Danio rerio: one gene and its partner. The protein of the gene in region 2 binds, or shares a complex with, the protein of the main gene of each other region. Links are inferred from orthologs where the notes say so. Each region holds a gene or a part of one and is shown on either strand. Other genes may lie near its edges.

What was found.
Region 1: taf1b (region 2) and polr2h share a complex: the UniProt entries of both Homo sapiens proteins name them as parts of the pol I pre-initiation complex. The link is inferred for Danio rerio from reciprocal best matches to the Homo sapiens genes TAF1B and POLR2H.

Annotation. Positions count from the first base shown.
Region 1 is NC_133197.1:38,618,230-38,621,752, forward strand, and holds the end of polr2h (DNA-directed RNA polymerases I, II, and III subunit RPABC3), read right to left. Parts: intron 3,511-3,523; coding exon 3,427-3,510; intron 1,104-3,426; coding exon 986-1,103; 3' UTR 706-985; downstream 1-705. UniProt on the Homo sapiens protein: DNA-dependent RNA polymerase catalyzes the transcription of DNA into RNA using the four ribonucleoside triphosphates as substrates.
Region 2 is NC_133195.1:32,286,209-32,290,135, forward strand, and holds the start of taf1b (TATA box-binding protein-associated factor RNA polymerase I subunit B), read right to left. Parts: upstream 2,860-3,927; 5' UTR 2,767-2,859; coding exon of another isoform or gene 2,749-2,766; intron 2,662-2,748; coding exon of another isoform or gene 2,563-2,661; intron 465-2,562; coding exon of another isoform or gene 377-464; intron 272-376; coding exon of another isoform or gene 174-271; 5' UTR 1-173. UniProt on the Homo sapiens protein: Component of RNA polymerase I core factor complex that acts as a GTF2B/TFIIB-like factor and plays a key role in multiple steps during transcription initiation such as pre-initiation complex (PIC) assembly and postpolymerase recruitment events in polymerase I (Pol I) transcription.

The DNA of each region.
Region 1 (3,523 bases), on a different chromosome or scaffold from region 2:
AATATTTTGTCAAAAACAACCCTTACTGTACATACAGTAGACAAATAGATAAATAAAAACACTACTGTACTTTACTAAAGATTTGTATTCATATTTTAAAGTTTGTAGTAATTTTAAGTATAACGATGGGGGAAACATTTTTTGCTTAAATAGGTTTATAATTTTGACCTTAAAATGGGTTTTAAAAAATTAAAAACTGCTTTTATTACAGTTTTAATAAAAAAATAAATAAAACAAATAAGACCTTCTCCAGAAGAAAAAAATATTATCAGACATACTATGAAAATTTCCTTGCTCTGTTAAACATCATTTAGGAAATGTTTACAAAAAGTAAAGAAAATTCAAAGGGGGGCTAATAATTCTGACTTCGACTGTGTGTGTGTGTGTGTGTCTATATATATATATATATATATATATATATATATATATATATATATATATATATATATATATATATATATATATATATATTATTTGCAGCAGGATAAACAGAAATCCAGCAGTGTTTATTCATTCTCTGACAGTAAAGCAGTCTCTCTGACGTCTGTCTCATGATATTTATTACAGCTCTCACACACAGACACCCACTCTTTCTCTCTTTCTCGCTCACACACACACTTCAGCTTGATTCAACTGGATCTCCATTTGTGCTGAAACTACATTTTTTGCTGTTGCTTAAATTGACAGTAACCAGGAGGACTTGTGTTTTTGTCCACATGAGCAGTCTTAAAACATTTTATTCCAGCAAAAGAAAAGAAATAACAAATCCAAAAAGCCCATTACTAGTTAACACAATCTGATTTTTACTGATAAAAAAAAAAAAACAGGCAGAATGTCACATGACTCGGATGCAAATAATGAGATGCAAAACCTTTATCAGGGCATTTGCTTTCAAATGATGAGCAGATATTTTGAGATTACCCAAGGGCCACAGTTTGTCATGAAAGGGGAGCAGAGTTATTAAAAAAAGTCCTTGATGAAGGCTTCAGAACGCCAGTTTCTTCATCAGCAGATAAACTCTGCTGTCCACTTCAAACCCGTGCAGATTATTAGCATCGCCTTGAAGACGCATCAGCAGGCCTCCATACGACACGTACGCTGATCTGTGCACACACACACATATAAACATTCACTCACTACTACAGCAACAATAGAGTGGAGGAGGAAATGCATTACAGAAATAGATTCTGCACTTATACTGGCATTTTAACAGCAGATGTCGCTCTAGGCTAGTTTTTAACAGCAGTTAGCTCTTAAGGCTAATTTTTTTAGCAACAAGAGGCGTTCTAGACTAGTTTTTAACAGCAGATGGCACTCTAGGCTAATTTTGAGCAGCAGGTGGTGCTCTACACTAATTTGACAACAGATGTCGCTCTAGGCTAGTTTTTAACAGCAGTTAGCTCTTTAGGCTAATTTTTTTAGCAACAAGAGGCGTTCTAGAGTAGTTTTTAACAGCAGATGGCACTCTAGGATAATTTTGAGCAGCAGGTGGTGCTCTACACTAATTTGACAACAGATGTCGCTCTAGGCTAGTTTTTAACAGCAGTTAGCTTTTTAGGCTAATTTTTTTAGCAACAAGAGGCGTTCTAGAGTAGTTTTTAACAGCAGATGGCACTCTAGGATAATTTTGAGCAGCAGGTGGTGCTCTACACTAATTTGACAACAGATGTCGCTCTAGGCTAGTTTTTAACAGCAGTTAGCTCTTTAGGCTAGTTCTTTTTAATAACATAAGGCGTTCTAGACTAGTTTTAGTTAGGAAATGCATTACAAAAATAGATTTTCCATTGATACTGGGATTTTAACAACAGATGTTGCTCTAGGCTAGTTTTTAACTGCAGTTAGCTCTTTAGGCTAGTTTTTTTTTAGCAACAAGAGGCGTTCTAGACTAGTTTTTAACAGCAGATGTGGCTCTAGGCTAGTTTTTAACAGCAGATGTCGGTCTAGGCTAGTTTTAACAGCAGTTAGCTCTTTAGGCTAGTTTTTTTTTGCAACAAGAGGCGTTCTAGACTAGTATTTAACAGCAGATGTCGGTCTAGGCTAGTATAAACAGCAGTTAGCTCTTTAGGCTAGTTTTTTTTTTGCAACAAGAGGCGTTCTAGACTAGTATTTAACAGCAGATGTCGCTCTAGGCTAGTTTTTAACAGCAGTTAGCTCTTTAGGCTAGTTCTTTTTAGCAACAGAAGGCATTCTAGACTAGATTTTAACAGCAGATGGCGCTCTAGGCTAGATTTAACAACAGATGTCGCTCTAGGCTAGTTTTTAACAGCAGCAGTTGGCACTCTATGATAGTTTTGAACAGCAGATGTCGCTCGGTTAGTTTTTAACAGAAGTTAGCTCTTTAGGCTAGTTCTTTTTAGCAACATAAGGCGTTCTAGATTAGTTTTTTTACAGCAGATGGCGCTCTATTCTAGTTTTAACAGCAGATGTTGCTCTAAGCTAGTTTTTAACAGCAGTTAGCTCTTTAGGCTAGTTCTTTTTAACAACATAAGGCATTTCTAGACTAGTTTTTAACAGCAGATGGCACTCTAGGCTTGTTCTGACCAGCAGGTAACACTCTACACTAATTTAACAACAGATGGCGCACTACACTAGTTTTAACAGCAGATGTCGCACTAGGCTAGATTTTAACAGCAGCAGTCAGCACTCTACTAAAGTTTTAACAGCAGATGTCGCTCTATACTAGATTTTAACAGCAGCAGTCGGCACTCTGATAGTTTTAACAGCAGATGTCGCTCTATACTAGATTTTAACAGCAGCAGTCGGCACTCTCTGATAGTTTTTAACAGCAGATGGCACTCTAGGCTTGTTCTGACCAGCAGGTGGCACTCTACACTAATTTAACAACAGATGGTGCACTACTCTAGTTTTAACAGCAGATGTCGCACTAGGTTAGATTTTAACAGCAGCAGTCAGCACTCTACGAAAGTTTTAACAGCAGATGTCGCTCTATACTAGATTTTAACAGCAGCAGTCGGCACTCTATGTTAGTTTTAACAGCAGATGTCGCTGTAGGCTAGATTTTAAAAGCAGCAGTATCACTCTCTGATAGTTTTAAACAGCAAATGTAGCTCTCGGCTAGTTTTTTAAAAGCAGATGGCTCTTTGGGCTAGTTTTTTTAGCAACAGAAGGTGTTCCAGGCTAGTTTTTAAAAGCAGTTGTTATTCTAGACTAGCAGGTGGCGCTCTGGGCTAGTTTATAAGAGCAAATAAGCTCAAAACTGAATAAAGATGCATTTTGCATATCTCCTTATCGATTCAGAATTCTCTTTCAAATTAATTTCCCCCACAGCTGATATATAATAACAATGCATATTAATTGTTTACTTTATTTAAAATACCTTGATAAAAATCTCACATTTCATGCATTCACCTATATTGTAAAATCCCAGTAAAAAAGTAGTAAATAGGCAAATAAATCAACACTCACAGTCGTGTGGCGGCTTCTGTAGACGTTTCATCTCCTTCAATCCTATAAACCTTTCCGTACATTACATAATCAAACTGATCAGCTCTGCAAAACAACA
Region 2 (3,927 bases):
ATTATATTTTACACTTGCACCCACAAAAAAAAAAACCTCTACAATAAAGTAAAACAAATTATACAGAAAATTACATAATTACATAAGAGATCAATGTACCAAATATAAAATCTAACAACATAAGAATACTGTGCAAACTACTTAATTTGATTCAGTAAACGAAGAGCACTAACCTCAAACTTCATACAAACACCTAGACTGACCAAAGCCTTGGCCTGGTGTTTGAGGATGAACTGAAATCCCTCACAGACCAACCACTCCCTTTCAGAATCTGAAAACAGACATAAGAGGCGTCAGGTTCAATTTTTCATTTTAGCACAATATCCTGTTAGAAATGATCAACAAGAATAAAAACAGTAAGTAAAGCTGGACTGACCATGTTTTTTCTTCTTGGGTTTCCTGACTATTGAGATCCTGCCATGCTTATGATGAAGGCTGGTAACATCCTCTACCTCCCTTATTTTCTAGAAGATGTTAAAACAAGCAACATGCTTTAGGTGTGTAAAGCTTATAACATCATGCCATTAAGATGAGACACTGTAGACAAAACAGTCATCATAAAGTGTTTCTTTTATAGCACTATAAATTTGTGCCTGCAGATTTCTATTATATTACACGTTTTCAGATGCTGTTTTTTTTTAAAAATTGGTTTTGTTCTCCTGAAATGAGCCATAAAGCTTCTTCAGCAAGTCTTACACCAAACGTTTTTGTTTTGTTTGTCAGTTTAAAGGTGCAGGAGGTAATCTGCCAAAATGCTATCCGTTAGCATATCTTAGAAAACCCCAGCCATCCCAAGCCAGGACTCCTGAAATCATGAACGCGCAGCTTAAAGTTGACAGCAGACAATCACTAGATTGTGTCATTTGCCAGTTAGAAAACTTTATAGTACTTATAAAACTACAATTCCGAACGACATACTGTATTATATATCTAGCACATTTTCAGTTCTGTCGCAAGCAAAACTTGTCATGATGTACAATATTTAATGCATGCAAGGATCGCTGGTCTCACTCTTTCACACGATTTGTCCTACAGCGACTACTGTATGCTTAGTGGTTGGCCGGTGGCATGCAGGAATTACACTTATTACTAAGCCATATTTACATGCTATTTCAGGCTGAATATTCAGCGTAGCATGGTAAACAATATAGGAGCACTTCACAGATTGTGAGTAGCCCCTTTCACACAGTGATACCGGTAAATATCCGGAAAATTTCCGGAACGACTTTACCGGTATATTCAAAAAAGCCCTGTTCACACAGGTAAGGACGTTACGGAAATTTTCCGGAAAAGAGCATTCACACATCCATTCCAAAATACCGGTAAATTCTGACATCATTCACCACAAATGAGCTTTAAACGGCTGCGCTTGTGTTTGTAAACATTTGACTAAATTACAAACTCTGTGGATGATCAATATTGTGAACAACTTTCGCAGGATCACTTTCGCATGTCGAGATGTTCATAATATCTGCGTGTGCAGGCGCTCACAGGCTGTTTCACAGGCACACGCAAAGCTTGAAGGTAAACAAACAACGGCTTATCATAAGCATCTCATCGATGATTATTTACACAGTTGGCATTAAGAAGAACATATAAACGTGATCTGACTAACTTCTAGCAGCTAAATGTGTCTGGAAAAATATTCAAAGGCTTTTATTCTCACAAACCCCGCGGACGTAAATGCGTCTGACTGTTGTGATTGGCTAAAGCAGACGTCTCACGTCAGCACGTTCTAGACGTGCACGCGCTTATTACGGGAATCTTCCTTCTGCATTCACACAGCGCAGCATTCCGGCAAATTGCCGGTAATGTTACAACTTCTCTTTCCGGAAAATAGCCAGAACGAATTTACCGGTATTTTCAAAAAGGACCTGCCGGAAAATTGCCGCCAATTTTCCGGAAAGGTCTGTATGTGTGAAAGGGGCTAGTGTTAAACAATGAACCAATGTGATTATAAAACTAACTTCAGCTCAGTAGAGCAGGCTGGGCAGAAAAGCGCTATTTACTGATGTTTTTTTTTTTTTGTTAAACTAAATAAAAATCTACATTATCGATGCTGTAAAAGGTCCCTTATGCAATTGAAATTAGTCACATCAATCGTTTGCCTGAAGATTCGGCTGAACAACACTTCTGTGCATGTAACCCATTCATAAAACCTGCATAAGCTTTACGTGACTAAAATACTATTTTAGTTTTCATAAAATGAAAAGTTTTCATTTATGTCTGCTTTCAATAAAAATAAATCAATCAACCGGGGGAGTATGATAATAATTAGTAATATTTATTTACCCAACTCCTGCTTTAATTAGCTTTTTGTTTAATGATTTTTTTTAAATTAATTAACCAATCATTAAATTAAATGTTAATATAACTATTAAAGTCAGCAGCATAATGAAAATCAGCAGAAAAGTGAGTAAATTATAATACATACGACAACTTCATACCTGTCCATGCATTTAAACAAGCTCATAGGAATTGGAAGAACTATACATATGTAAAAAAAAAGTGATTTCTGTCTATGTATTAATGTACTATATATTAAAATATCTATTAACCCACCTCGATGACATTGTGGCAGCTCTTACAGAAGAACTGACCCTCGTCTGACACTCCCCAGTCCACAGCAGCGCACTGTCCGCATGGCTCACTATATCCACCCTGGAGAAACAGCACCGCAGCTCACAGAGTATAACGAATTTCCACATAACACTGCAGACTGACAAAATACACACTAGAGATACTTACAGTAATTTGTTCGTCCATGGTGTAAACGTAAGCTGAACTTCAAAACATGAGACAATTTTTGTTTTCTGTTTTCAGCGTGAGCATACTCGCTTTCAACATGGCCGACTATACGTTTTTCATAATAAAAGTCACTCGTTTGTTCAGCGTAATATTTTACAGTAGGCCCTGGCCCACTGATCTAGAACCCTTTGGTAGGGCTATTTCATTTTACTATATTGTGTAATATGTATATGTGCATGTTAATTACAATTTTGATGTTTATTTTTTTCTTCGTTTACAGTATAACTCAACTCATTTACACGTATAATTTTAAACATCTATTTTATTAATGAAATGTAATTATATTGTATAAATATATGTGAATCAAAATAATAATAATAATAATAATAATAATTCATACTTCAAGTTTAGATAACAAGGCATAGCCCCCAATTTGCACATTGCCACATTGTAGGAATTATATTATCCCATATAATTATTTTATGTATTTGCTCTATATTATGTTGTTAAACATTTATATTGTCTGGAATGTAACTAAATTATTTTTAGGCTTGACAGATAAGTAATAATAATAATAATAATAATAATAATAAAGTATTGACTCTATCATGAATTCTCTATTAACTTATCTTGGATACATAAATTGCGATTCATAATTATTTTTATATAGAAATTATACATTTATTTTACTTGTTTTATTGTAAATGCATGTCTCTCCTGCAAAACAAAGATGTGTCACAGTCAATGGACAGTAGATGGCGCAAAAATCCATAGCTAGATAAAACTGACAGTAAATGGTGGTAGGCTACTCATTACCTGGATTACAATCAGCCTGCTTGAGTCAGAATTTCTATTGTTATTCTTTAATAAATTATAACAAATAGTAGGCAAATACAAAATAGTGTTCATATTCTCGTTTGCTCATCATGACCTTTCTATTGTTTGTTGTTAAAAACCCTAGCAAATTTAAGATGCCTCATATTTAACATTTAAACTATAAATATATAAAGTTCCAGTTAATGCAATTGTGGCTTAAATGTGCAATGTAACAAAAATAAAATAAATTGTGCCCATCAACAATGCTTCCTTTCCTCCTCCCCACCTCTTTGAAGAAAAGCTGCTTCTTTCACCACTGGGCCAATTTCATGGTTTACTGCCTCCCATGCGTTTCCTCGTGTT